Linked DNA regions of Rhinolophus ferrumequinum. The protein of the gene in region 2 purifies or fractionates together with the protein of the main gene of each other region. This does not show direct contact. Links are inferred from orthologs where the notes say so. Each region holds a gene or a part of one and is shown on either strand. Other genes may lie near its edges.

The links.
Region 1: the proteins of SLAMF1 (region 2) and PTPN11 purify together in Homo sapiens (affinity purification with western blotting; 3 studies listed by BioGRID and IntAct, with this or other methods). This does not show direct contact. The link is inferred for Rhinolophus ferrumequinum from reciprocal best matches to the Homo sapiens genes SLAMF1 and PTPN11.

Annotation. Positions count from the first base shown.
Region 1 is NC_046308.1:7,481,810-7,497,556, reverse strand, and holds the start of PTPN11 (tyrosine-protein phosphatase non-receptor type 11), read right to left. Parts: upstream 8,044-15,747; 5' UTR 7,835-8,043; coding exon 7,821-7,834; intron 1-7,820. UniProt on the Homo sapiens protein: Acts downstream of various receptor and cytoplasmic protein tyrosine kinases to participate in the signal transduction from the cell surface to the nucleus. Positively regulates MAPK signal transduction pathway. Dephosphorylates GAB1, ARHGAP35 and EGFR.
Region 2 is NC_046305.1:27,924,953-27,940,751, reverse strand, and holds the start of SLAMF1 (signaling lymphocytic activation molecule), read right to left. Parts: upstream 6,840-15,799; 5' UTR 6,797-6,839; intron 1-6,796.

The DNA.
Region 1 (15,747 bases), on a different chromosome or scaffold from region 2:
CACAAAGGCTGGACAGGATAAGGAAGGGCTTAATAAACATGTGTTATCACTGTTGTTATCATTATTATTATTAGTGGAAGATATGCCGGAAAAATTCTTCTCCTGCATAATTATGTTAGTTTCACACAGGCCATTTTGACGTAGGTATCATTTGTGTTACACGGCCTTATCATAAACTTAACTTCACATCTCTGGGGCTGTCCCTACATTATTTCAAAGAGCACATAATTAGAAATTAAATGTTTTTCTCCAGAACCCAGGTACTTGAACTTTGATATACTGTAAACTCTCATTCCTTAGCTATTTTCTTCAAAAAGCATTTGTAATTACCAAAAACTCTTTCCCAATTATATGTTTAATATTTGTGTCCAATCACCGACAATTTTGTGATTTACAGTATGCTTGTCATTAACAGGAACAGTTAGAGCTCATTCAACCCGAGATCTTAGTGAGGGTCAGAACAATGGAATTAGTAGAATTAATATTATGTCATAGGGCTGGCCTCAAGGATTATAAACTTGTAACATTGAGTACTAAGGCCATACATCTCTACGCCCCACCCCGCCCCCAGTAAGAATGCAAACAGTGGAGGCTACTTCACAAAAAAAGTTATGTAAATGCGCCTATATTACCTCAAAGGAGGGGGAAAGGCAAATTAGCATGATTCCACCTGAATTTATCAGCAAGGCGATTCATATAGTGGGCCCCATGGATACAGTAGGCATTTGATGAATGGCTGTTGAATGAATGAATTTGAGGGAGGTGAAGAAAAACCAGACAGGATAAAATACGGAAAGGAGGGGGAAAGGAGGGACGTGGAGAAACAGTCACATGGCGGGGAAAGGGGAAGAAAAGTGTCCTCCTCTTGCTCATTCTTAGTATCTGCAAACCGGCCGGCCCCTGACAGTCTCTTCTAATCAGTCGTCCTCTGGGCATTGTCTATTATTTACTAAGGTTGTCAGGTCATAACATGGCCCGGGTGGGTATCACTCATTTCATAGAAAAAGTTGAAAATGTGCGCGCGCACACACACACACACACACACACACACACACCACCATCACCACCACAAACAACAACAGCAAACACTTGTGAAGAAGAGCCTCAAATCAATGTCAAAAACAAAATAAATGTCCCAAACACATGAGCCCTGTGCTGAGGGGGCTGGAAGAAACGAAAGACAGAATCCCTGCCTGCAAGCCAAACTATTTGCCGGGAAATCACACCAGAAATCGAATTCTCTCACTGGTGAACGCAAATTCTGCAAAGGCTTAGCTCTCTGAGGCTGGGAACTGACTTATGTCAAGTGAGTCTTAAAAAAAAGTGCTGATGAACCAAAAAGAGAATACACTGATGCTGAATATTTCGTTTTATCTATGCACCCCTTTCCTTTCCCCCAGCGATGTGGGGAAAGTCAAGCCGGCCAACAATTTTAGGAACTTATTCTCAAGACTGCTATGCTAAAAAGGGAGTTTAAACTGGGGATCCAAAGTCTAATTTCAGTTTATTGCCTAAATGTAAAGTGATACTGGGTATATCCCTCTGCTCCAGAAAAATCATTATCTTTGTCCTTGGGGAAAAAGTTTATGGTTTGGTACTTTCTGCAGATTATAAGAATTTTCCATTTTCTAATTAAATTTTAATATTCTATAGGAAAAGGATAAGACATGGAGAGGAGGCAGTCGATAGGGACAAGCATTCTAAGTAACAGAGGCTAGAGAGACGTTCTGGCAGCTTTTTCATGGTAGTGGATCCCTATGTCTTTATAAATCACTACCTTCTCGTGGAGTTTCATTGGTCAGCATCTGAGCCCCGATGACACAGCAATAGAGGGAAACTGCCTCCAAAAGTCTTTCCATGAATGGCTTCTACCCTAGTTCAAAGCGTTCTCTCGCTTGTTTGCTCTCCCTGACTCCACTCCTGACTCCGACTGTCCTTCCTTCACAGGAGCCAGAGGGATATTTTTAAACAGATCAGCTCATGCCACTGCCCTGATCACATCCTTCTATGGTTTGGCGTTGCTCTTAAAATACAACCCCAACTCCTCTCCATGGCCCTGAGGGCCTTCCAAGTCCCTGGGGATTCTCGTCCCCCCAATGCCCCCAGGCCCAGAGCGCCTCCTCATGCTCCCTTCCGTTCTTCGAGCAGTCCAGAAACTTCCCCCAAAGCAGCCCTTTCACACCTGCTGCTTCCTCAAACCGGGAACACCCCAATGCCTTAGCAGGTTGCCTGGTACCTGGCAATCCCACGACAAACAGTTCTTGAATGGATCCCTGTTTCATTACGAGAGTGGCAATGGGATGATGAAGACGTGGATCTATAGTCCATTATCTTGTAAATAAACGCATCGCATGTGTGTATAGATGGATATAAATGTGTACATATGTGTGTATCAGGTACGAGCATATATATATATACTTTAAACAGTACATTTTATAGTGACAGATTTCCATTTCAGTTTGGTACTACCTTCACCAAACTCATTTGAGGCTGGCGTACAAGTCTGTCTGCCTCTCTAAATTCAACGCTCTTTGCAAACACAAACTGCTTCTTTCATATTTCAGTGTTGCCAAGGACCATTGAACATACCAGTCTACTGAATGCACACAAGCTTCCAACACTCAGTAATGAACTGGGCAGCATTTTGGGGTGTTTGAATCCATTTCAGGGGTCTCAAACCCTTGGTGGCAGTCTATAACTCCCACAGAACCTGTCAAACATCAGTATTCGCCTTTATGTATTACGTGTTGTTGAGTGGACGCCAACTCCTGGCGACCCTGTGAAATGACTGATGTCCACAATGCCCTGTCCTCAGCAGCCCTGCTCGGCTCCTGTAGGCACGTGCCTACGGCTTCTTTTAGGGAGTCCATCCATCTCACACTTGGTCCTCCTCCTTTCCTGCTGCCTTCTATTTTTCCCAGCATTATTGTCTTTTCCCAAAAGCCCTGCTTTCTCACGAGGTACCGGAAGTAGGATGGCTTCAGTTTTGTCATGTTTGCCTCCAGGGATGTTTCAGGCTTAATTTGCTCTGGGACCCACTTGTCCGTCTTTCTGGCGGCCCAGAGTATCCCTAGAGTTCTCCTCCAACACGATCCTGCAAACAAATCCATTTTTTTTCCTATCAGCCTTTCCTTTCCTTATTTGCCTTTCCTTTCCTTAAAAAGGTCAGCATTGAATGGCAAGCGCTGTCTGTGCTCCCCAAGGGAAAGAGGAATAAGCACAGTGTCCTCTATTGTTCTGTAGAGTAACAAATACAAACATGAGTTGGCTCTGTTTTTCCAGGATCTTGATGCGACTCACTAACAGTCTCCACATTGACCATATGCGAGAAGGATAAGTAACCTTAGCCGTGGCCCCTGCACTTGAGCAGCTCTGGCCAAAAACCCAAGCTCACATTGGGACATGACATTAATAAAGACATCCAGTTTCAACTGGAAAGACATAGAACTGTCATTTTTCAGCAAGGCAAGTTTATTTACTCCCACAGGAGATAAACAAACATGACCACCAGGGAGAGCCTGGGACAAAATGTACTTGACCTGTAATAGATAAACCAAAAGCCAAGAGTCTCAGAATAAGCTACATTGCCTGTCCTCAGCTCAAGTCATCGTACAGTATCTTTCAGAGGAACAAAAGCAAATGTGAAGGATGTGCCATTGGCTGAAGGAAGACGGAAAATACAGCCAGTTTCGCCAGCTGAATAAGGCAGAGGAAGGCAGACAAGCAATCTCAAAATCTAAATTCAGTACTCCCACCGCTAAATTACCTGGAGAAGTGTCATTTAATTAAATGCCTTCCTTTCCCTACCTATGATGTAGAGAAGTATGAGTACACTGAATACACTGACATTTTAATTACCGAATGCATACAAAATCTAAACCCTAACACATGAACCAAAAATAATTATTTTGATAATGAAGCAAAACAAAACTCAGAATAGTACTTGTCATTCAGGAGTTGGCTCATATGATCACCTCTTCAGAGAGACTTTTCCCAAATCCCTTATCAAAACTAACCACGTTCTTGGAGCTCCATGCTCCTAACTCCGGAGGCTGCCGGTTCGATTCCCACATGGGCCAGTGGGCTCTTAACCACAAGGCTGCCAGTTCGATTCCTCAATTCCCGCAAGGGATGGTGGGCTGTGCCCCCTGCAACTAGAAAACGGCAACTGGACCTGGAGCTGAGCTGCGCCCTCCACAACTAAGACTGAAAGGACAACAACTTGACTTGGAAAAAAAAAAAAGGCCTGGAAGTACACACTGATCCCCAATAAAGTCCTGTTCCCCTTCCCCAATAAAATCTTAAAAAACAAAAACAAAAAAAAAACTAACCACATTCTCCCCATTCGGTTTTTTTCCCTCCCAGCAGTTATAACTTATTACCTAAAATTGTCTTATTTATTCATGTGTTTGTCTACTCTCTCAGCCATAAGAACAGCAATCTTTGCCCATCTTACTGCTTTTTAGCCTGCCTGGTTCGATAACTACTGGTTGAATGAATGAATACTGAGGTTAAAAATAATTTGAAAAAGAAGAACAAAGGTGGAAGACTAACACTATCTGATTTCAAGACTTGTTATAAAGCTACAAGAATCAAGACCATGTGGTACTGAGAAAAGTATCCTTTTCTCAGACGGATCAGTGGAACAGAATAGAGTCCAGAAATGGACCCACATATAAACGGACAACTGATTTTCAACAAAGGTGCAAATTCAATAAAGAAGAATGGTCTTTTCAACAAATCTTGCTGAAACAATTGGGCATCCATATGTCAAAAAGAGAATATGTATCTACACCTCATACCATACACAAAAATTAACTCAAAGTGGATCAGAAACCTAAAACTATAAAACTTGGAGAAAACATTTGAGACCTTGGGTTAAGCAAAGATTTCTTAGGAATGACAGTAAAAGCATTATCCATTAAAAAAAACTGGTAAACTGGACTTCGTCCAAATTAAAAATCTCTGTTCTTCAAAAGACACTTAAAAAAATGAAAAGACAGAAAAATTCAGATTAAAACTTTGAACTTTTAGTTAAAAAAAAGAAAAAAGAAAGAAAAGACAAGCCACAGACTAAAAGAAAATATTTGCAATTCCGATAAAGGACTAGTATCCAGAATTAAGAACTCTCAAATTTCAATAATAAAACAAACAACTAAATAAAAAAGAGGGAAAATATTGTATCAAATACTAGATATGTCACCAAAGAAGATATACAGACGGTAAATAAGCACATGAAAAGATGGTCTACATGATTAGTCCCCAGGAAAAATACATATTAAAACTACAATGAAAATGAGATACCATGACACACCCACTACAATGGCTAAAATTTAAAAATTGACCACACCATGAGCGGTGGGAATGCACATGGTGTAACCACTATGTAAAACAGTGTTGCAATTTGGGAAAAAGTTAAAAATACATCTACTATATGATCCAGCCATACCACTGATAGGTTTACAGAAAAGAAAAGAAAGCGTATATCTATACAAACACTTGTACCTGAACATTCAGAGCAGCTTTACTTGTGATAGCGAAACTCTGGAAACAATGCAAATGTCCATCAACAGGTGGATGGATAAACAATTGGCAGTACATCCATGCAATGGAGTATTACTAAGCAATAAAGAGGAATGAACTATTTGACATATACTACACCATGGATAAATCTCAACATAATTATGCTGAGCATAAGATGCCAGCCTTAAAATTCCATTGATATAAAATTCTAGGAAATGCAAACTAATGTATAGGGACACAGAGCAGAGCAGAGCAGTGGTTGCCTGAAAAATAAGGGATTATAAAGGACATGAGGAACCATCTCAAGCAGTGCTGGACATGTTTCTTATCTTGATTGTGGTGATGGTTTCACGGGTATATACATACATCAAAACTTATCAAATTGTACACTTAAATATATGTAATGTATTGCATGTCATTTATACCTCAATAAAGCTGGTTAAAAATAATAAAACAGACCTACAACCTGAAAAATAATAATAATTCCCAATTATGTGTGTTATGTTCATAACTTGACTTTTTTGGTGGCACACATTTCTTTGTTATAATAGGTGAGACAGGGAGGGCTGGAGGAGAGGAGGAATTACTCCATTTCAAACTGTCATGTTTACCACTTGCCGGTTGCTTATCCCCACACTTCCCTGCTTCTAGACTAACAAGCTGGACAATGTAGGGTCTATTACTACCCTACCCCTTACCCAGCCCCAGCCCCATCTTTTGTCTCCAAAAGCAGCAGATCCTTACTTGTCTGGAAGAGCAGACACAAGGAACAAAAGGCTCAATGACTATTTGACAGATTAAAGAATAGACAACTGTTTTATTTAAAAGCTCCCTAAAGAATTACATTTGAGGCTATACACTGCCCTGTTGAAATGCAATTATGTATTACCCAGATCTGTAAGCACTTGCCAACAGACCTGTCCAAGTCACTCACTTCCAAAGTTTCCAGTTTTCTTTTTTTCTCACTCTTTTCCTTCCAGATCTATGAATAAGTATTGTGCAGGTGTATTTTGAGACGACATTCTAGTCTTTTGAAGTCTCTCACTCAAATAACACCAAAAGGCTAAACAGTTTTTCAAATGTCTAAGACAGTGACCACAACAGGGCAACCAAAGAAAAGACTAAACAATGAGTCTTATATGTGAATGGTATATAATGAGTGACTATACAAAAAAGCAGATCACCATCTGAAAACAATAGATCACCCTACTGCTTAATAACAAAATTAAGACCTAAAAATGATTAGCAACAGTTATAAAATAATAGCAACATAGTGATTAATAGTGGAGATTCTGGCTCTACCATTTGTTGGTTGAGTGACCTTAAGCAAGTTGTCTAACTTCTGAAACTCAGTTTATCCATCTTTAGAAAGGGGATAATAGTACCTACCTCGTAGGGTTATAGTGAAGATTAAATGTTTGGCTTACAGTAACAGCTTAATAAATGTTAGCTATTAGTATTATTACCCTGAACTTTCAAAGGACCTCATTAATTCACTAATCTTCCTTCTGACTCTCGGGTACAAATCCTGTCATTTACTAGCTTGTTACTTCGGAGCCTCAGTTTCCACATCCGTAAAAAGAAGGTCATTAATGTTACCTGACTTTTAGGGTTGCGGTGAAGGATTAAATAACTAGAAGAGATACAACTCCCTTCCCTCCCATCTCTCAAAGCGAATATTGCAGAGGAAGGAAATACTTCTAATAGCTGCAGATACAGTCAGTTTTTCCATTTCTGGCACGTGAAGGGTGGGGTGGGGGGAAAAGGAGATGCAAAGACGCCTACAAAGGGGTCAGGGGTCCCGAGTGAAGCCCCCAAATGCGCGCGACAGGCAGAGTGACCTCGAGCAGCTCCACCGTCGGGGACCCGGCCCGGAGCAAATCCCTCCTCTTCCCTCCCGCGTCGCGGGCCCAAGGAGCCTCCCCAAGTGAGCCGGGTTATTTCGGAATCACCATGAGGCAATTCTCATGAGGCAATGGGTCAGGAATGCGGCGCCGAGCCGGGCCGCTGGCGTCCGCGGTTCCCGCGGCGCTCTACCTGCCCCCGTCCCGACGGGCATCCCCTAGGCTGCGGGAGCCGGAACTCCGGGAGGCAGGAAATGAATGGAGACCCGAGGGGTGGGAGCGAGGTGGGACCGGACCCCGGCCCCGGGAAGGCGAGGAGTTTGGGGGGGAGCCTGTCCCCCGACCCCAGGCGGACGACCGAAGTCCGCCCGACGCGCCCCCTCCCGGGCGAGGCTGACCGAACACGACGGGGGCCGGGCCGAGGCCCGCGCCGGGCCCCTCCGGGCTCCTCACCTCCGCGATGTCATGTTCCTCCCGCCCTCCGGCTCCGCGACGGACCCGCTCCTCGCTCAGGCTCCGCTGGGCCTGGTCACATCGGGATGGCCCGAGGGAGGCCCGCTCGGGACCGGACGCGGGGCAGAGCCAGCCGGCCGCGCGCAGACCCCCCTCCAGGCCTGGGGATCCCGGAGACTGTGCAGCCGCCCCCCAAGCCCGGTTCGCTCCTCCTTCGCCCCCGCCCTTCGCCGCCGGCGCCATAGTGACGTCACCCCGCGCGACGCCCCCTGCCACTTCCTGCTTCCAGGCGGCGGGACACCCAGCCGCGGCTGGTAATGGCAGGTCGGTGGTGGCTCGTTGGAGCCGCCGCCTCGCAGTTCCCAAAGTACCTTCACGTCCTCCTTTAGACCTCGGCTGCGGGGCGTGAGCTGCGCGCTCAGTGTTGTCCGCGCGGCCCCAAACCGATAGTTTCCGTTCCCACGGTGTCAATTTTCATTCCTGCGCTGACTGCCAAATCGCATTTCATTCATTTCATTCCTCAGATCGCCGCTCCCCTTAACGAGCTGTATAACCTTGGGAAAGTTGCTTAATTTCTCTGAGCCTCAGTTTCCTCCATCCCTTCGTATCTGTAAGGTAAAGATAGTCATTGTATTTTCTTCGTGGGATTATTGTGAGGATTGAACATGTAAAATGCTTAGAGCGAGGCCTGGCCTGTTTAGTGTTTTGTAATTGTTAGCTGTATTATCAATGTCAGTAAACATATGTTGAGGGTTTTCTATCTGCTAGGCACTGTTTTAGACTAGGGGGATACAACAGGGAAGTGAAAAGACAAAAATTCCTGTGTTCTGGGAGGAGCTACGGTAATCAAGATAAGTAAAATACTCATGGTAATATTCCCATCCTTCCTTCTTGTCTTTTCCAAATAGCCCTTTCTAGTATCATTTGAAACAGAGTTTTAGGGAAGGCTTCACTGAGGATTCCAGTAAAGATCAGATGCTGAAGCCGTCAGAGGAAATAAGTGAGGGGAGTAGCATTTCAAGCATCTAAGGTAGGAGGCTGCCTCCTATTGAAAAACAATAGAGGGGGGGGATGAGGGTGAGGGGGATCAAATGTATGGTGATGGAAGGGGAGCTGACTCTGGGTGGTGAACACACAGTGTGACTTATGGATGATGTGATACAGAATTGCACACCTGAAATCTATGTAATTATACTAACAATTGTCACCTCAATAAATTAAAAATAAATTTAAAAAAAAAAAAAAAGAAAGAAAAACAATAGAGAAGTCTCCAGCCGGAGGGAGAGTTGGTGGTGAAAGGAGAGTAGCAGGAGATGAGAAAGAGAAATGGTAGAGGATCCTATAGGTTATTTAAATGAACGGCGAAATGGAGAGCCCTTGAAAGATGTTTCGGCAGAGGAGGAATATAATGTGTTTTTGAAGTATTACTTTGGGCACCCTGTGAAGAATTGGATCAAGAGGGCAAGGCCAGTAACGGAAAGACCGGAATACTAAAATACTGTGGTATTCAAGGCTGTAGGTGATGGTAATTCGGACCACAAGAAGGTCGAGTTTTTAACCTAATGAATGCACGTGACTCATTAAAGGCCACAGATCTAGTGAGTGAATTCAACCCACATTAGATAGCTCCAAAATCCTCCCAATGATTCCCATTTCACTCCTATACAAAGAACTTTCACACAGTGTGCTAACTGCTTCAGCATTAATGAGCTCCTTACAAAAAAAATTGTCTTTAATATATGCAAATTTAATTTAGGTAATAGCATTCAGCAAGAAGTTGCTCAACCTGTTTCTTTCCATATTCTTCCTAAATCTTAGCCACCTGGACAACTCAGACAACATCCTAATTGATCTCAGGCCTGCAGGCTTTCCCTGTCCCATCCATTCTCCACATAATAGCGACAGTAATCTAAAATGCAAATCTAGTCACTCCCTAACTTGGAGTACTTCAAAGGCTTCTCACTGCTTTTAGGATGTAGCAAAAAGGGAACAACAAAAAAAAATTTAACACCCTCCTGATCCAATCCCTGCTCACTTCACCAGCCCTACCTGTCCCCACCACTCACCTCATTCCCCATGTCCCGGTCGTGCTGAATGACTTTCATTTCCCCTCCCAGCTGAGATGCTCCCTCTCCCTGGAGGGTTCTTTCTGACCCCGCTTCCCCAGGAACTCTAGTTTATGCCTCAAATCTCAGACTCGAAGTCATCTCCGCTGGGTTAGGAAGCCCGCTGTGATTCTCCCAGACCAGGTTATGTGGTCCCCAAGACACCTTTCCTATCTTAGAACCAAACGTACTCCATTATAACTCGAAGACACAGTATAATACGGGGGATTAAATTCGTGATCTTCAAAGCTCAGCCTGTCTGCCTGGGTGTCCTATGTTAGGTTACTTGACTCTGTCTCAGTTTCCTTCTCTGTAAAATGGAGAGACTCTAAATACCACACACCCCATAGGATAGGTTCCAAAGAATAAAAGAGTTAATGTTTAAAAAAAAAAAAAAGTTAATGTTTGTGGAGTACAGTAAGTCCTCACTTAATGTCGTCAATTCATTCTTGGAAACTGCGACTTGAAGACAAATGACCTATAACAAAACCAATTTTATCATAGGCTAATTGATAGAAACAAGAGTTAAGTTCCGAGAGAATATTTCTGGTCACAAAAACATCTCCACACTTCTAAATAAAGACCCAAAATACTTCTAATATTAAACATTGAAATAAATGTGAGCTATACATACATTTAAAAAAAGATTAATAAAAACAAGTGTGGTCATTATTTTGTAACCCACTTATTCCAGGTCAGGGCTGAGCACAGCTGAAGCCTATCCTGGCAGCTCAGTGTGCAAAGTGGGAACCAACCTTAGACAGGAGGCCCTTCCATCACAGGGTGCAGGGCACATCACACACACACACACACACACACACACACACACACACACACACACCCCTACAACCCCTCAGAATGGGCCAATGGAGACAGGCCAGATCACTTAATATGCACATCTGTGGGATGTGGGAGGAAACCAGACTACCTCTAGAAAACCCACGCAGACATGGGGAGAACGTGAAAACGACACACAGACAGTGGCCGTGACTGGGAATGGACTTTTTATTCTCAGGAACGTTAGGAAAGGACAGTGAACGAAATGACGTTATTTTAGGATCTGCCGTACCCAGAACAGTGCCTGGCAAAGTATGCACTTGATAAATGCTGTTTATCATATATCTCTTCCAAAGTAAACTAAGCTCTTTGAGCACAGAAACCATTGCTTCCCCAGTCTTTCCTATATTTTGTACACTCTGCAGCAAGAAGGATCTTTCTAGCATACAAATCTAATCATGTCATTCTTTGCTTCTATGAGGGAGGTTCAAAGTCTTTAGCACTAAATTAAAATCCTCCCATTAGACTAAAAACCTTTCTAGATATGGAATATACCCACACAGTTTCATTTACCCCCACTCTTTCGCATAATCTGACCGTTTTCAAAGGCCTCTTGCTCTTTCTTGCATCTCTGTCTTCCAGAAGTTAGTTTCTTCTGTCTGGAATACCCTTCAAACTCTTCTTCATCTGGAAAACTAAGTGTCAAGCAAGATTCAGTTCCAACTCAATCAGCTCCTCCACAAAACATTCGCTGTCCACACCCCTTGACCACATCCTAAAAATAAAATAGAGACCCCCTCCCCACTACGCCTTGGGGCTGCCTGTTTATCCTCTCACAGCCCCCAACATAGTTCAAGGTCGTTGTTGATTGAGTCTTTTTCCTCTTTCCCTAGTTTATGAGCTCCTCTTAAAACAGTCATTATCTTCATATGCCCAAAGCCTACACAGTAGTACCTGGCATATAACAAGCTTAAGAAATTCATTTACAGATGTTTTATTTTTATTTCTTTCTTAGCTACAAAAGCAATACAAGTGTGTTGCAACAATCCAAATAAGAGCAGTAATTTCCCCGGCTCCTTAGTGGCTACAGCCTCCCTATGGCAACCCCCGCACGGTTAATGATTTGGTGTGTATCCTACCACACTTTTTTCCATACCTACACACACACACACACACACACACACACACAGATCCCACACACAGTCACTCACATACATGACATATGTAGGGATTTTTTTCTATTTTTTTAATGAATTCATAATATGTGTATATATTTATAGGTTTGTAATATGTATATATTTATATATACATACATTTGTGTATGTGTGTATATGTATGTATGTACATACAGATATATATAGAAATAGATAAAATATATATAGAGAAATAGATACAAATATATATCTTTGTGATATAATGTTTTCTCTTAATATATAATGGACATCCAGCTAAATCAGCACTGATTGTCCAATGCAAATATAATGTGAGCAAATATACGTGTAATTTTAAAGTTTCTAATATTCACATTTCAAAAGTAAAAAGAAACTGGTGAAATTAATTTGAATAATATGTTTATTTAACCCAATATATCAAAATATTATCATTCAACATATAACCAGTAAATATAAACAATTATTAATGAGATATTTTATATTCTTTTTTTTCTTGTGCTTTTAAAGTCCAGTGTGTGTTTTACACTCACGACACATCTCAATGTGAACTGGCTACTTTTCCAGTGCTCAGTAGCTACATTTGGCTACTGGCTACCGTGCTATACAGCACCCTTGGATGAAAGTCATTCATTTTCATACCTGCATAATATTCCATAGTATGGATGTCCATTGTTTAGTCAATTCCTGTGTTGATGGACATTCAAATTATTTCAAGGGCTTTGTTTTGTTTTGTACTACTATAGTGCTGCCATGAACTTTTTCGTGAGAAAATTATTGAGTGAGTGAATCACCATGTTGACCTTAACATTAACATTTAAGAAAGTATTATCAATATTGCCAATATCATCCCCGTTTTATGAGTAAGAAAACTCATGTGCAGAGACTTATAAGATCATATAGCAAATGAATCCCCGGTTACAAGGACAGTACCCTTTCTGCAGCACAACTGCCTACTGGGTTTCTGTTTTTCTGTGACACAAAGAGACATGAGTCAATGTAAGCACATGTGTGACCCTAGATAAGTCGTTTATTGTAATTGAGCCTCAGTTTTCACCTTAAACTAATACCTCACCTGGACGTTGCTTTGAGATTTATAATACAATGATTTAGTGTCTGCAAAAATGTCTGCTTTATAATTAATAAAGAACTGCACAAAGTTAAGAGTATTTTATATATGGCAGAACCAAGCACCTACTGTTTACTTTATAACTAATACCTACAGTATATTGATTATATTTTGCCCAATTAATGAATGGTAAGTTTGACAATACCACAACATAACACAAGAGGGAGTACATTGATGTTTTTATTTCAATGACAGGTCATTTCACAGATACTTTGTGGCATTTACTAGGTGAAAGTCTCTGAGATTGTCAGCATTTTTGAGGGGTTCAAGTAGGCAATTCTGCACTTCATTCATTCTTACACATTTTCTGAAGTAGCTATATCAAGAGGTGCTTTGCTCAGAAAGCTAAACAAATAAAGCTGCTGACATTCCCATTCTCAAAAAAGAGCAGTGCCCAAACTCGTCCTTGAGAATATTACATGTCTGGACAGTGAATAAGTTTTTATTTTATTTTATTGGGGAATATTGGGAAACAGGGTGTGTCTCCAGGGCCCATCAGCTCCAAGTCGTTGTCCTTCAGTCTAGTTGTGGAGGGCACAGCTCAGCTCCAAGTTTTCAAGCTTTAGTTGTAGGGGACGCAGCCCACCATCCCATGTGGGAATTGAACCGGCAACCTTGTTGTTGAGAGCTTGCGCTCTAACCAGCTGAGCCATCGGTCTGCCCCGGATAGTGAATAATCTTGAACTGGAATAAAATACAGTCTTTTCAAATCACATTCATCTTTAATATGTATGGAAGGCAGACAAGTTTAGAAGCCTCATGTTTTAGCAGGCATGGCAACTCTGCATTCACTGTAGTCTGAAGGGTTTCACTGAAATTCCTGAGGCCTTCAGAGGTATCTGACCCCTGTATTTGCATCCTCAGTCAACCAGAACCAGAAAAGGGCTACATGATTTCCAGGGACATAGCCACAAAGCAGGTGGTTTGAACCTGAAGAAAATTGAGGTGACAAGCTCTAGCCAGCACAACAAGAAAGTGGAAGAGAATGGAAAATTCAAGCCAAAACCTATCACAAAGTGTACCTATTTCCTTAAAGACTTTGATGCAGTAAAAATGTATAAGATATACTATGTTGTTTATTTTTTTATTTTATTTTTTATTTTTTATTTTATTTTATTTATTTAACTTTTTTTTTAGTAGTTTCCGGTGCACAAAACAATGTAATAGACATTTATCATTTATATCCCTCACACAATGACAACCTCCCTCCCCGTGTTTATTTTTTAAAATTATTGTTCTTATTTTTAATTCTAACATGAGCAAAGATCTCTCTTATTCATCTTCATTAGTCATCTCTTCAGTCTTTACAGACTGATGGTTAAGAGTACACGCTTTGAAATCAGATCCATGTTGTGAACAACTTAACCTCTTTCAGGCCCAGATTCCTCACAATAGTAGCCTTCACAAGTTGTTGAAAGGATTGAATGAGATAAAGCAAGGCACACAGCACAGTTCTAGGTGCATAACATACAATATTTCTCTTATTATCCCTGGTGCATAAACTTTAGCAGAATACTTGGCACATAGCAAGATCTCATTAACAACTATGATGTTGATGGTGGTGGTGGTGGTGGTGATAACAAGAACTAACATTTATCTGGCACTTACCACGCATCAGATATTGTTCTTGATGATTATCTTTATATTAACTCACTTAATCTTCCCTAAAACCCTGTGAGGTAGGGATTATTGTTACCCTCATTTTAGAAATAAAGAAACAGACTACAAAGTGGCCAGAAATGCTTGGAGATGTGCTGGGCAAGCATGCTCTTACATGCCTCCGTGCCTCTTGCATCTGACACTTTCATCTGTCAGATTTGTAATTATCCTTCCAAATCCTACACAAAACGCACCTCAAAACGATCCCAAATCTCCCAGAAGAAATAACTTACAATTTTTCATTTTTCTGTTTGTTTTTCCCTTGAATGTGTGTTCTTTGAGGAGTATATTTTATTCATTTTAAACTCTAGCTTTTCTGACACTCCACCATTGAGCATGGTCTATGGTCTGATTAGGGAATATAGGCATTAAGGCAACTGTGGAGAAAATGTCCGTGTAAGTTTCCCAACTAGCCTTTCATAGGAAAGATTTCAATTTATTGGGGATTAGATCCTTCATCCATCTATTTTCTTAGATTGAAAATAGTAGTGTTTTCTAATGTCCTTAGTAAGCAAAATAAAAGGTTGCAACTTTATGTTGGTTCCCAAAAGAACTTTGAAAATTTTACTGGTTTATAAAATGAAACGTTATCAGACAAAATGTTCTTCCCTTTCGCTTTTTATAAGGAAAAATAGCTCTCCAAAATACAGTACTTTCAAAAGAGAAAAACCTACATCTCCCATGATGCCTCAGATCCGGAAGGATGTGAGACTCGACTCCTCCCATGATTGCTTATAGACCGGAAGCCGGGGCCTTAGTTCTCTTTCCCAACTTGCAAGGTAAGAATGGTGGCGCTTCTCTGCAAGACTTGGTTTCAGAACCCCAATCCTTCTCCATCCGAACCTGGAGGGTATCAAGTCGACACCTGTAAGGGTCGGACATGCTCGCGGCCAACTGAGAGGCTTCCCAGACGCTTCATTTCTGTCGCTTGGGTTTGCTGTGGGGCACGAAGTGGGTGACATGGAATGCCCAAGAGGCTTCGGGGTTCCGGCTGGTCGCTACCCTCCTGGGCTGGAGAAACGGGGCCCCTCCGGGGATCCGTAACAGGCCAGTGGAACCGCAGGGACGATGCCCGCTCTGGAATATCT
Region 2 (15,799 bases):
AAGGTGCCTGGGGCTGGGCTGCCCCTGAGCATCTTGGCTTCCCTGCCAATGACTGTCCTCATCATGGCATCTGACCAGAGGTTCCCATAACATGAGCCAACCCCACAAAGAAGGATCACTGAGAGGAAAGCCAGACCACCTGGCCACTTGGAACCCATGATGAGCACATTTATCTGGATAAGTAAAACAAACAACAAACAAACAAACAACCCCCCCCACACACACACACACACAAATGAAAATACAAAATTTCCCCAAACTCTGAAACATCTCCTAGGAGACCTGGTTACAGAGCCTAAAATTGGTCTGGGGAAAGCACTGAGAAAAACACCCTGGGGTCAGCCCTGCTGGGTGAGATGAGGAAGTCCACAGGGACAGGTGTCTGACACAGGGGCTGAGCAGACCAGTCAACCAGACAGCCTTGTTGTGGGATGAGTTTGTAGGGGTTGAGGGGAGACAGAGAAGAAAACTAGACTATGAAGTGACTCTAGCTCAGAACTAGGCCCAGGGTGTACTCAACATCTTTACCCAACATCATGCCATCAAGTGACCTTCGTGAACAGATGGATTTGAGTAACCCAGACCCAGGGAAGGGAGTTGGGGGCATGCATGGCCCAGTGTGGCCTGTGAAGATGCCTACTGACAGTGCCTTGCCTTCACCAAGATTCCCACCTCAGTGCTTCCTCCAGGGTTCAGATCCAGTTCACAGCACAGAAGTGGAGAGGTTGAGAAGAGATTCCATGGCATCTGTAATCTGAGGATTTTCACCCCAAACTCTTTGTCAATTCCACTTATGCTCCTGCTGTCCTTCTAGATCTTGGAACAAATGTGTGGGGATCTTTCCCCTTCTGGGGTCTTCCCTAGATTGACCCTGAACTTCCCGTTTCCCTGCAGTCTCCAGAGCTCTTTGAGAAATATTCTTGGTAGGGTTGTGGGGTTGCAGAGGAGGCGAGGGGTGCTTCTTAGTACCCCTCAAATTACCCTATATAGCATCCATGTAGTTTGCTAGCCTGCTTTCTATTGGCATAAGCTGCTAGAGAGACAGAAATGCCCGTACCATTCCACTCCTAGGAAGGAACAGGGTTTAGGAACCGGTTACAGTGGCTGTTGAGTCATCAGCCTCCAACCTTTTCTGTGCATCAAACATTGCCTCCCATAGTGCTGATCTACCTTCTTAGAGTAATAATTATGACAAAAATTTTCAAAGTATCCTAGAAATCCTGGACAACCACTGTCAGCCTGTTTGTCCAAACAAAACTTGAGCTATGGCCTTCTCTTTGGCAGTTCTAGAAGGCTCTTTGGCAAGTCCTCTGAACACTTTTCCTACAAAGGCAGATGAGGAGCAGGATTCATTCCTTTCTCTCTGAATAGTTTCTAACCAATCATCACTTCCCTGAGAGACAGAGACAGCTGGGGAAGTGGGAGCTGCATGCTCCATGAGGTCATTCAATGATCCTCTGAGATGCTTATGAACCAGGTATGGAGCCCAGAACAGGGATTCCTGCCCTATCACACCAATGAGGTGGGCTGACATGAAGTGAATCTAGGGGAGAGGGAAAAAGCTAAGATACTTGAGTAGTTTGGTAAACCAAGCTATAGACTAGAAAGCTTCAGTGAAAAATTCTAGCTTGGATCATTGGAGAAAGCAATAAATTGGGGGGGGGGGGGAGAGGGAAGGGAGGCCCCAAATGAAGCACATGGAGAAAGTCCAATAGCTTCCTCTTCTCTATTCACTTGCTTTCCCCAGCACTAACCATGAGAAAACCATTCCATTGGGTTAAAATATGACTCTAAACATCCTTTAATGATGTAATCATACAAGCATTAACGTAATTATCAACCGTGTGAATGACTTCTCAGATATCATTTTTAGTTAAGAGCAGGATATTTAGGAAGTGGGATTTTTAAATATTAGGGTTTCATCCCCTCTTTGCAAAATTGCAAATGTAATACAGCATTGAAGAAATTTTTAAAAAATAAAGCAAAACAATATTCCGTAGTTTTCTTTTCCTTTTTTTTTTTTTTTGTCACAACTGCTTTCAAGTTCTCAAATCTCCTCTAAATCTTTTTTTTAAGGCACTAGAGTAGACCGGTTCAGAACTCTGGCTCTATGGTCAGAGAGGCCTAGGTCTGTTATTTATAAATCATGAAATCTTGCAACCTTCGGCAAGTTATTTAATCTCTCTAAGCCTTTCTTTCCTCAGTAATAACAGTTAAGATGAGGAACCATCTCACAGTGTTGTTGGGAGAACTAAATGACATTAATCCAAGCAAGGTGTTCAGTGCAGTGCCTGTCATGTGGTAGTCATTTTGCATTTGGTGTCTACCATTTTCATGGTTTCCTAAAGGTAGGCATGAGTGATTAAATGATGAACCTCATTTAGCTGCATCTGGTGATGTACAGGAAGTAGTCAAGATTGAGGACTGTCCTAGGAGACCAGGAACAGAAAGCTTCAGGGACCCCTGATATGAACATCATTCTTGGGCTTCCCCTTAAGAGTCAACAATAGCTTTGTAGCATAAATTAAAGACAAAGCACATTATGGGCCATTAAGAACTTTCAGTAATTGAAGACAGAGTGTGGATTTTCTGCAATGAATATTTAAAAGCCCTGTAATAAAGGAATCAAAAATTCTCAGCAGACTATCACATTTCATAAAAGAAAAAAATATCAGTACATAAAACAGAACAGGAACAGTAAAAAAATATGAATCAGAACAGAAAATGTGAAACAGAATGAAAATATGAAGTGAACCCTTAACCACACTTGATTCAGTTTCGCAAAATCCACGTGTGAAGGGATTTGAAGTCAATATGAAAATCACACAGTACAGCAGTTACAGTGATTGTTTTAACTGTGACTGTATAAAATACCTATAAGGTTTTCATTCTGTAAGGTGGATTTGGTCACCTCAGTTTTTTCTTTTGCTGTATTATAAAATTTAAGTCAAAAAATGCCTCTGGGTATCATCATGAGTAGTGGGGTGAATTTCAATAATGATTATAGTCACGATACTGGTACTCAGGGAGAGGCTGTGGAAGCATCGCTCCTCACTGCACAGCGGCCTAAAAGAAGTATGTTCTTGCCTCAATAGGCTACTCATTCCATAAGCACATTTGTAACTATAATGACTGGTGTGCATACACTTCCATACTTTTAAAATTTAACGTAATACATAAAAATTTATTATTATATGCTGTTGTCTAGTTTTATGAGCAGAAATTTCTTAAAGAATATTGTGTTAATTATCTTGCCTTGAAAACAGAGCAAGTGCAGATCATGAGATAGTTTAAAATGTTAAGTTTTAGAAGGCATTTTATGGGGTAAAAGAGGTATAGACCATATCCAGAGACAGGCTTCCTTCTTCAGATTTACTGTTTCTAAATTTTGCTTTGTTAAGTAAGATAACAGAGCATGTCCCTTCTTAAGAAATTTTTCTAAGAGTAAATAAGTCAGTTAAGCAGAGGCCTCTAGTTCTGTTTTGTTGTTTTTAGGAGGGATGGCTCCCAGCTCCCAGTTCTGATGACTCAATCAGGATAAAGGCCATTAAAATGCTAAACCTTGGTCTCATTTGGGCCAAGGTTTGGGATATGAAATCCTGCATGCTCAGCTGGCACCCTGATACTCATCTGTCCTTCTCAGCTTTCGCTCCAGCTAGACCCTCCAACAGGCGTCTGCAGATATTCCCCCTGCATCTGCAGAGTGTCCACTCTTCCACTTGGGGAAGACTTCCATACTGGGATGGAGGACTAGGAGAAAGATAGATAATCATGTTGCTTCCTATGCTGCTTAGTTAGCTCTTTAAAATCCAAGAATTAACTTTAAGAGCCTGGGTTCTGAATTTGGTTTGCTCACACAAGTGTGTTAGGTCATGGAGGGGAAGAATATGAGATTTCTACAACAGAAACAGCTTATCTTTCCCATGAGCTCTGCAGCAGGTCTAGACCTTACAATTATTATCCCCAATTCACAGATGAGGAAACTGAGGTTTAGAGAGTTAAATAATTTACCTGAAGTCACACAGTAAATAAGTAGCAGGGACAACACTGGAATATAAACTTTACCACGTCCTGCTACACTGGCCTTGAATACATGCGCCTATGTAGCAAAGCCATTGTCAGAGCCCCTCATATCCAGGGGCAAGAAGTAGAGACCAGGGGAAGAGAACAGCTGTGGTGCTTCGCATTCATTCTATTACATCCTTTCTGGGCTCCACGCCCCACCTAATCCATTCATGATTAAGTATCTATGACTCTTTACTTTGCTATTTCTTGTCCAGCTTTCTTGTCTAGCTTCTTCTTAGGAGCTGCCTCCATTTTGACCTTTGACTCTCTCTTTCTGCCCTTCCCTCTGTCTCATTTCCATCAGCCCTTTGAGATCTCTAACTCCCGGGCCAACTCTAGCCACTGGCCCAGCCAGGTCTGTGATTGCTGCCTTGCTGGCTTTTGCAGCTGCCAGTATTCTACGAAGACCCATCCTGAGCCTGCCCTAAGCGTGGTCTTGCTGTCCTTGTCCTGAATTTCACATTGAAGCCCCACAGGCCCTGATACTTGCACTGTCTGTTCTCAGAAATCTCTTGTAGGACCTTAAATACTTGACCAAACTACTGCTCAGCTCTAATTCTTCCTCTAAGGATTTATGTGTGTGTGACAGCTTGTACTACCATCCAAACACCTGAGGGTTCAAGTTTGACTTTATGCTAATGAATTTTTTTCTAATTTCAGAAGTATATGTAGCCAAGGGCTCATGGAGTCAGAAAAATATGAATTAGAACCACAGAGGTTTCACTCAGTACTTGTATCAGGTAGGACAATTCAGTTTTGGTGAAACGTAGTTTTCTTATCTATAAAATAGTGTATTACAGGTTACTTGTATAGTGGATGGCATGACATGCAGCTCAGATCTCAGAACAGCATAGCGGTCTCGCCCCAGTTGCTGGATGCTTTGGTGACTAACAACTCTCAGCTGAGTCCTTCTTCAGCAGCTGCCCTCAGACAGTTCCTTCCATGAGGGCCACCCACATCTAATGACTGGTAAGCTGGTTAATGAAAGGATATAAAAGTCCAGTCACTTTGCCTCAACTAGGAGCAACCCTTAACGGGTATCACAGTTCCAGAGCTCCTTGTGGAGTCAGCTAGGCCTTTGTTGCAACTGTATTGGGTACAACTTCTCCCTCTGCTCAATCCTACATGTTTTACTTCCCACAGGCATTGATTCTACAAGTACTTCCCAGTGAACTTCCTGCACATGCATCTTCATCTCAGAGTCTATCTTGGGGGGAATCTGACCTGAGAGATCTCATGTATTTTTTTGAGGGTTAAAGCAACATAGTGTATATAAAGTACAGTATATGATATAGCCTGGGCAGTCAGTATTTTCTAGTTCCCTTCTCTTCCTTGTTGTTTTGTCTTTCATTCATTCCTAAGAATACCGGACCTACTAAACCTAGGCCTCTGACAGGAGGCAATGTTCCTCCTCCCACCTGATCAAAACTTTTCACATACAAGTAGTTAAATATATCCTAGGATAGTTGTTCATTCTATTGATAGGATTCACCAAAAGTTTTAAGCAGGTAAGTGACCTGATCAAATTTCTTCTTTAGAAAGATTATTTTGGGGGCAGCTCGTTGGCTCAGTTGGTTAGAGCGCGGTGCTCATAACACCAACATCATAAATTCGATTCCCACCTGTGCCAGTGAACTGCACCCTCTACAACCAGGATGAGAACAATAGCTTGACTTGGAGCTGAGCTGCCCATGGGCAGCCGGTTGGCTCAGTTGGTTAGATGTGTGAGCTCTTAACACAAGGTTGCTGGTTTGTTTCCCACATGGGCCAGTGAGCTGCGCCCTCCACACCTAGATTGAAAACAACGGCTTGACTTGGAGCTGATAGGTCCTGGAAAAACAAACTGTTCCCCAAAAAAAGATTATTTTGGCCACATTGTGGGAGAGATTTAGGTAAAACTAGAGGCTGGGAGATGATTAGAAGAAATGATAGTCTCCACTGAGGAAGTGGTAATTAGGTGGGAGAGAAAGAGATCCATTGAAGACTTATTTCATATGTGGATTTGGCAGCGTTTTGCAACTGATTGGATGTGCGGTATGAAGGAGAGAGGCCTATATACAAAGGCCTTTGGACTTATGGTATAGCCTCCAGGCATATAGCAATGCCATTCTCTGTGATAGGAAGTATAGGAGGTAGAGAAATTTGAAACAAAATTGGGAGCAAGGGTGTGAGATTAGTTTTTGGTTTTGGAATATGTTTATTTGGCATATTTATGGTACATCCAGATGGAGATTTCCAAGTACTACTTGATTATATAGAGCTGAATTTCAGACAAGTGGTATAATCTGGAGAAAATGAAAAACAAAAAAATCTTAGAAGCCACCTCTCTAACTCCCTCATCTCACCCTCAGAAAGCTGAGACTTAGAGGTTAACACCTCTGAGGGAATTGCCAGAGGCTACCTGAAACAGTTTTTGTGAAGCCATGACCAGAAACCAGGTCTCTTGGGTTTTAGGTCAGTATACCTATCCCTTGACTGACTTTCATTTTGCTCTATTTATATTCATGTTTCCCCAATCTAACAATACCTGACATACAGTAGGTGTTAAAAATGTTTGTGGAATGAACATACAAATTACAACCATTCTTTGAGGTAGGGCTGTCCTCTCCTCTCTACATCATCACTGAAATTATATCTCCGCAGCATCTTGGAAATCATCAGACCCAGAGAAGTACTGTTTAGCCTCCAAATTTGCATTTACTCAGGTATTTCCCAATACCTCTCTACATACTCTGACAGCAAAACGTCTGTTGTGCAGATCTCATCCAAGGGCAGTCTTTGTGCTGAGTCCACACACCTGAATGGGAAGATTAATAAAAGCAAGAAGAATAGAAAGAAGGTATTATTTAGGACACAGAGATCATATAATCAATTCCTTCTTATTTTACTCTTGAGAAGCTTAGGTTAAGAGGTCTCTAAACCTAATTTGACTGTCTTGATTCAGTCAAATTAAAGTCCTAAGCCTAGGAGAAAGGGGGGACAGTATAAGACAGAAGAAGCCAACTAATACTTATTGAGTATTTACTGCATACCAGACCTTGTGCTGGATGATTTACTGAGGCTATTTTATTTAATCCTGATTGAAAACATCATCCACTTTTTCATTACGCTAAGTGAAACAAGTCAGACAAAGAAGACCAATACCATATGATCTCACTTACATGTGGAATCTAAAGAATAGAATAAATAAGCAAACTAATCAGAAACAGTCTTAGAGATATAGAGAAAAAACTGAGGGTTGCTAGATGTGGGGGGGATGAGGGAGAAGCTGAGGGGATTAGGAAGCACCAATTGGTAACCTCAAGATGGCCACGGGGATATGAAAAACAGTTTGGGGAATATAATCGATAATGTAAAGATTTTGTAGGGTGTCAGATGGCACATGTCTTATTAGAGAGACCACTTCATGGATGGTGTAGGTGCCTGACGACTGCAATGTACACCTGAAGATGAAGCCGAATAATAATGAATATATATATATCACAGGATGTGGAGTATGGCATAGGGAATAGAGTCAATGGAATCGTAAGCACTATATATGATGTCAGAGGGGTAGTAGATTGGGGGAGTGGGGCTATCACTTTGTGAGGGGTGTAGATGTCTAACTATTACATTGTTTTGTGCACCTGAAACAGAAAAGAAAAAAGATCATCCACTTCTTTCATATGGAAAACTGAGACTAGACAGTTTACTTTTCTAAAACTGGTAATTGGTGGGTTTGAAACTCAAGCTCAAGACTGTCTGGCTCCAAAGATTATTCTCTTTCCCTTATATCATGCAGCCTTCCAGAGGTTTCCATTGTGGTTCCAGATGTTAGGTATAAGCTTGAAGACCAAATATGCTCATTCCAGTGCTTAATATGGGTGCCAACAAGCCCTTCGATGTTGTCATCTTAGCAGGCCATTCAAAATTCAGTGGTCTAGGGTTTGCAAGAATCCAGGAGACCACATGGTCAAGCCTCAGAGAGGTTATCAGCAAGTCCCAAAGGAAGGAGAAAGCATCTTTGACTTCCAGCCTCAAGTCTGCTGGGAATTTGTTACGTGTACTTGGGCATGTCACTTTCCTTTCTTGGTCTTCCAAGATTGAAAAAAATATGGGTATCATCATTATTGCCACCCTTATAGAGTTCCAGAGTGCCTGAAGGCAAACCACTTATGAGTGCAGATCAAATAATAGTGCTTGGTCTCCGAAAATCAAGTTTTAATGCTATTAGGTTTTTGCAAAAGTAATTGGTTTTTGCAATTATTTTTAACCTTTTAAACCACAACTACTTTTGCACCAAACTAATATTGATACAGCTAATTCTATAATAGGATATGAAGTTGTAAGAAAAACTGACAAAATGATGGAGGGGTATGTGCGAAAGAAAAAAATAAGTACCAGAAAAAATAATAAAATAGAAAAAAAAAGAAAAAAAAATATGGGGAAATGCCAATTTTTGTGGGCTTCCCTGCTGATGATTTCCAAACTTTCTCTGTAATAATCATCTCTATTACATAGGGGATGGAAAGAGGTTATATATGGGGGAGGGAGAAAGACTCATCCCTAAGAAGTGGTTTCGGGGCTTTGGAGAAGCAACAATTGGTTTGAATCTTGACACATGAGTAGGAGTTTGTTAGGCAGACAAGGAGAAGGAGGGATGATTCCAGGAAGTGCAAAAGCTTGAGCAAAAGCACTGGGTGAGTTTGGGGAACTGCAAGTAGTTCAGGAAGGTTGCAGCATTTGCTTCAAGGGAGGGGCCAACCTAGAAATTAGGCAGGAAAAATCCACAGAAGCTGAGTCACACAGGGATCAGTAGTAGCCCTCAGGCCATCTAAGGAGCCCACCTTTGAAGATTCTAAGCATGGAAATGTCACAAACCTGTATTTGAAAAAAGATCCTTCTGCTCTGTATTCCTGCCCTCTGCAGGAGTATAGCACAACGGAGAAAGGTTGCCTGGGAACTGGAATGGAAAGATATTTGTGGTTCAGAACCCTGCAGAGCCACAGCCAACCTATAGCCTCTACTTATTACCGTGTTTCCCCGAAAATAAGACCTAGCTGGACCATCAGCTCTAATGTGTCTTTTGGAGCAAAAATCAATTTAAGACCCGGTCTTATTTTAATATAAGACCGGGTCTTATATAATATAAGACCAGGTGTTATATAATATAAGACTGACCAGGTGTTATATAATATAAGACTGGGTCTCATATTGATATTTGCTCCAAAAGACGCATTAGAGCTGATGGTCCAACTAGGTCTTATTTTCGGGGAAACACGGTAATAAGTAGAGGCTGTAGGTAGTTATTCATGGAAACTTTCTTCTCTTCTTGATTGATTCAACAGAAAACTAAGAAGAGAACTGTTATCTACCAACCTCAGAAAGCTGCAAATTTGATCAATTGCCTCTAGTTGTTTTTGACAAATATCCTCAGGGAAAAGGCTTTCACACTGTGTGATTTCCACTCATCCAATAAAGAAAGGCTTGCAAGTGGGGTCCTTCACGTAACCACTACATACACAGTTCTCTGGGAATGAGGTTTTAAAGGAGCCTCAACCCCTTCTTACCCCTCCAGTGTCTGCCAGGCTGTTGGTTTTCACCATGATTGTAGGCTGTGGGTTTTAAATGCAAGAGAGAGGCTAGAGAACGTGGGATGGGACTAGGGCAAGATAAAATGCCACAAAGCTCACTGTTCTTACTGGGATTCAGACATTTTTCTTAAATAAACACTCCCTGAATTGCTGTAAGCCTTTGGTTAATTTCTAGAATTCTGGAAAAGCTGATTCTGCTTTTTTTGTTTTCATTTGTTTGTTTGTTTGTTTTTTAGTTTTCTCATTGCTTTTATAGATGAGAGGTCCTTATTTTGCCATTTTTGCTACCATTTACTGTGTGTGTGTAAAATTCTCTTTGTTGAGTTAAGGGAATTCTCACCTATTAGGTTGATTAAAATAATTGTCATAATTTTTCTACATTTTTCTTACTTATTGAAGTGATTGTATGCTTCCCCCCTTTAATTAGCCAATGTAATTAGTTACATAAATAGATTTTTAAAACCTAAACTATCTGTGCATTCCTGGGATAAACCCTATGATAATCTTATTATGTTAATGAATTCAGTTTGGTAATATTTTATTTAGAATTTCTGTCCTCAAGTGAGGTTGGTCCATAACATAGGGAACTAAAAGAAGAATAGCCATCATTTAGACACTGAAGTGAGGTGTATCCATGGCATGACTTCTATGTGCAAGAGTTGGCTATAACTTTTAGATGGTTCCTACTGGGGAGTAGGTAAATCTATTTGAGGCTACATGCAGTAAATCAGAATTAGAAATAGATAAGTTTTAGAGACCTTGGGAAAAAAATTGCCTTAAGCAAGATACATGTTTATTATTGTCTCAACTGAAAAAAGATAAGAGGTAGGCAGTTCAGTTTGGTATGGTGATTCCTCAGATATCTCTAGGAATTCTGGGATACCTCTAGGAAATGGTAATTCTATTATCCTTAATTTGTGGCCTTTGTCCTCATATCCAAATCGCTACTGAAGCTCCGTCCATCCATTTTTGTCCCAGGCAGCAGGATAAAGGAAGAAATGGAAAATAACTTCCCATCTATTCCCAGAAATCCCACACAATTTCTGCTTATTAGCAATGGCTTAAAATTAGCAACATGTAAAGGAGTTGGAAAATGCAGACTAGATGGATGGCAAAATGTCCAACTAAATATCAGGATTTGTTAATTTGAGAAAAAGAGAAGATAAATATTTATTTCATAAGCAATTAGAAGTCTCTGCCACCCAGAGAATGGTTTGATCATGTAAGAGAGTTCATCTTTATAATCAGATAGATGGGAATAATGTATGTAGGTGAATGTGTGTGTGTGCTTGTGTGCACATGTGCTTGGCAGTCAAGGAGAATGAGAAGGACACCTACCAATGTATGTGCTCATCTTGTTTTCTCTGAGAACAGTGTTACAGTAGACCTCATCCCTTGCATTTATTAAAAATTAATCATACGTTTCTTGATCTGGATGCTAATTACAAAGGTGTGTTTACTTTGTAGAAATTTACCATGCACTTTTCAGTACATTCCAATAAAGAAAGATATTCCAATAAATATTGTAGTATTCCAATAAAGAAAGATAATGATAAAGGTGGCCGTGAGATAATACTGGCTTTTAAGATTTTGTTTCAAATTCTTCCCTAGATTTTTCCATTTTAGCCAGATCACTTTGAACCATTATTCTCTCTCATTTATATAGACATATATAATTATTTAATAAATAAATTATATTTATCTTACTATCATATAGAAACACATAATAAAATTTGTATAAGTATGTACATTTATCAGGATCATTTCTCAGGCCCATGGGCCCACATCTAAAGCCTTGCTTGATATTGCATTATACTAATTATTTCAAATTTAGAAAAAAATTAATGAAATATAACCAAATTAAAATCTGGAATTTTTCAAGAAGACATTTCAAATTTCACAATTTGCTACCTCGCCTCCTTATCCTGCAGAAAGTTCACATAGAACCACTCCTATCAACACCTGTAACTTCTTTGGAAGTTTCCATACATCAGTAAGAGCAATCTTTCCCAACACAAACCTAGCCAGGCACCTTCCCTGCTGAAGGCCCATCAATGGCTTGTCAGTGTCCTTAGGATGAAATTCCCAGGACCCTGCATGACATGGCCCCCAAACCCCACCAGTCTCATATCTTGCCATGTTTTCTCTAGTTTTCCCAGACACACTGGTCTTCTCTTAGTCCCAATCTCAGGAGTGGCAAGCTTTTCCTCCTTTTCCTGAATTAGGGTTTCCTGAATCCTGTTTTGTGTCTTTGGTGCTCATGCAAGTCAGGAGGAGGTGGGAGGTGCTGACCTAGGGATCTGTTCAATGCTACCAGCACCTATCTTTGACTCTACTTAGAAATTCTTAAGAGGTTGGGCTGATTCTCCTCCAGCCTCACCTCTCCAGAGCCCTCACAAAGGATTAGAGAGGGGTTACTTGCCCTTAACAGAAAAACTCCTGACTTTCCAGTTTTTCTCAGAAAAAGAACACCCAACCCTGCCATGAATGTGTATAAAGTTCTTTACTGAATTGTACAGAAGATCTCAAAAGCCCAGGGGACTTTAGGAGGAAAAGTGGTTATAGGAATTTGCATATGAAACAGATTGCCAAGAGTCTGGAAAACAACTGGAGCTGATTCATCTTTACCGGGAACACTCACAATTTGCCTATTAAATCTTGCTACCTCAGTGCCAATGTTCAGCTTTTCTCTTGATTCTTCAAGTTACTCCCAAACCCTTCAGTGAAATTCTCCCCCACATTTTTTGTTTGGGTAGTTTGCATAAATCAGCTGATACAGGAAGGCAGTTTCTATCCTTTCAATCCTTTCTCATCTTTTGCAAACACAAATGTTCTGGCTCTGGTCTAATGCTGATTGAAATTCTCCTTTGCTCAAAGTTGATTTTGGAGTGGGAAAAGCTAAACTCTAGTCTCAAGTGTGAAAGAGAAAATGGGTCCACTCCATTCTAACTGAGTTTCCCTACTAGTGAAATTTTGCTGCTGAATTTCTCACTAGTTTTCCTAAGAAATAAGCAGGCTTCAGTCATATTAGGGAAAAGAGATTTTTCTCATTGATCTGACCCTGACTCTTGTGAAATTCAAGAATTATTATAAGTAACATTTTATTCTTTGAGAACTGGTTTATTTTTAAAGAGCCACCACCCAAGGTGGCTCTCTATCTGCCATCTAGAAATGTGGCAATCACTTCCTTTAGATACTTTTTTATTCACACCTCTCTAGCAACCAGGTTGTTTTTTTCTTCCAGAGCACCCCTGCTTCATCCTTTTCCTCTTCCTTTCTTTTTGAATACAATTTTTTTGTTTTCATTTTTATCTACTTTTTGTATAAGTCATAATTCACATGGATCAAATATACAGTGAAAGGTCACCCTCTACCTCCTCTTTTCCTCTTTCTTGAAGGCTCCACCACACACACTCCCCTGATTTATTTAATACCTATTCATTTTCAGTCTCTGATTCCAAAGGGAAGTTCTCTCTGACCCTCAAACCCAGATCCAATCTTCCTGATTTACATTCACTCAGTCCTCACTAGCTCTTTAAGGGAGCAGTTGTCATAGTTGACACCTGTAGCATTGTCATAATTGAAATTAAATTACTAAATTTCCTTATGGCTCTCTTGCAGACTAGATCATAATCTGCACGAAGGCAAGAACTGTATGTGTCTTTCTCAGTGCTGAATCTAGAATGGTGTTTAACTAATAATAGCTGCTTAATACATATAAACAGGTTTGTTTTTTTTTTTTAATAGTATGAAGTTGGTTAGTTGGGAGCTAACATAAAAGAATGCTCTTTCTTTCCTACTCACATCAGCACTATATCAAATCTGCCTTCCATCACTTAAGGATGTTTTGGGAAAATCCCTCAGTTTCATTTTTATCACTTCTAGTAATTTTACAGTACAGTTCAATGTAAAATTCCCCTTTAACCTCTTAACAAGCTCAAGCTTGTCTCATGGTCCAAAAATCTATAATAGGGAGGGAGGTATGGTTTAATCTTTCGCCTATTTTATCTCATCTAGTTCCAGCTTCTCAAGTGGTTTAGGGCCGGGAGGAGAGGGCCAAACTATTTCTGTTACCTGGATGCTGTTGATTTTCTCTGTTCCCCTAATACTGATCCACTGTTGATGCCTTCTCTGAATACTGGCTCTTTCATGGAGCATAGGTTTGAGTGTTTTGGGGACCACAGTAAGGTTGGTGGGGTTGGGGAGATCTCCACTAAAGAGTGTCAATGTCGGAAATGTTCTCTGGCTTGGCTTCTCCTGACCCTCCTCCCACTCAGCTTCCGCTGATGATGTACCATCCAACCTCTTGCGGCTGGGATCTGCTTATCTGGTGGCCAGGTGGTAAGACAACTGAAGCCTGGCTACCATCTGCAGTGTCCTCTGTGGAAACTCCTATATCCTTGCCATATCAAACAATGGGTGTGCAGGCTGTACTCTCACTCCAATACCATGTTTCTACCTTTGGGAAGATCAAAAGATCCACTGCCCAACCAGGGAGAAAGACATTAGTCTTCACTTCTTTTGTATTCCTTGAATCTCTCAAGTGGTGCTTTTGGAACCCCTTTCATCTAGCACTATGGAAAGGGGATCTCATTCATGAGGAAGAGAAGGAAAAGCCACAGGTCTCTCCCAACTCTAACAATTTTGATTCTGATGATTTTCTCCTCTCTCCCTAGTGTTCTATTTATATAGAATGGGGGTGAAGAGTGCTGGGGTTATCGCTGGAGTAGCAAAATCAGTTTGGGTACCCCTTACTAAGCCTAGAGGTAGTGCTATCCCTGACTTATTTGTAGCTCTTTTGAGAATGTGAAGTCTCTTTTTCCTAGCTCTAAATTTGAGGCAGTGGGGAAAGTCCCATCAAGAATCCCTTTACAGATATCTATGTGATGAGACAATGAACCAATGTGTTTGTTGTGCTGTCTGCTCCATAGGAGCCTCTGTCCAAGCAGGGCTCCCGGACACAGAGGTTACTGGGCTGGGAAGAATTTATTGAGAGGATTGTATTTTCTATTTCACTAAGGAGGGAAAGAAACCAACCAAGGCACTAACTATCAGGGGTTATCAAACCCTTGTAGGCAGATGGAACATCAGAGGCAGAACCAAGCATGGTGAGGGCTCAGTAAAAAACAGGAGTTACGAAAGAAATGTATCAGCTGGAAGAGGTGGAATAGAAGAAAGAAAAAATAAGAGACAGGAAGATGATGGAAACAGAAAATGAAAGTGATAGAAATGTGGAAAGAGGAAGATGGTGGAGGAGAGAGGAAGAACGACTAAGAAGCTGAGGTCAAGAGAAGGGGACTGGGCAAAGGGACTGGGCTATAGCTTGCCCAGCTGGAGCACAGGGGGCTGCACAAAGCAGCTAGTGAAAGAGAGCAAAGGCCTGTGGTTACCACTTTCCAGCTGGTGCAGGTTGCTCTGGGCTAAATCTGTCCCCTCCTCCACCATGCAGTCTTCTGAGGAGATGGTGAGGGAGAGAGGAGGGGGTGGCGGGAGGGGACAGCACACCTCTCCAGGTGCAGGGGCTGCCACTTTAACAAATGCACTTTAACATAGCTCAAAGGCACTGGAAGTGGTGGATTCTGTTATTCCTGGACAAGAAATGAGGATAAAAGATGGGACTTTTCTAAGACTGCCTTGGTCTCAGCAAGAGTTTTATAGAATAAATATGGTCAAGGAAACCACTTAAAATTGAAATCCCCAATGAAGAATTTTGGAAAGACCTCTCCCAATACCCAGTCCCATTCCTTAAAGGGGAGTGTTTGGGTAAAGAGCGCAGCAGAGAGCCAGGCATCTAGATGGGCTCAAAGTTAGCTCTCATTAAGCAGCTCCCAGCACAGGGCCTCAGCTCCTGGTATGGGAAGGCACTCAGTAAATATGGGTGAGGAATGAATGAACTTATTGATCTGAGGGTCCAGGTCTAATTTATGTGTAACCCTACTTGGTCCCATCACCAGGGCCCAATCCAAGCTGTTCCTTTGTGCACTGCCAGATGTGAAGGCTGCATTCTCTCAGTTCACAGGAGCTCCTGGCCTTGCAAATACTCCATGTGCCACCTAGTGTTGCCTGTTGTGACAAGCTGGTCCCTGGCAGCATAGCCAATGCACTTGAGGACCATGGGAACCTGGGAAGGATGATTAAAATTTTTAACTCGAGAAGGGATG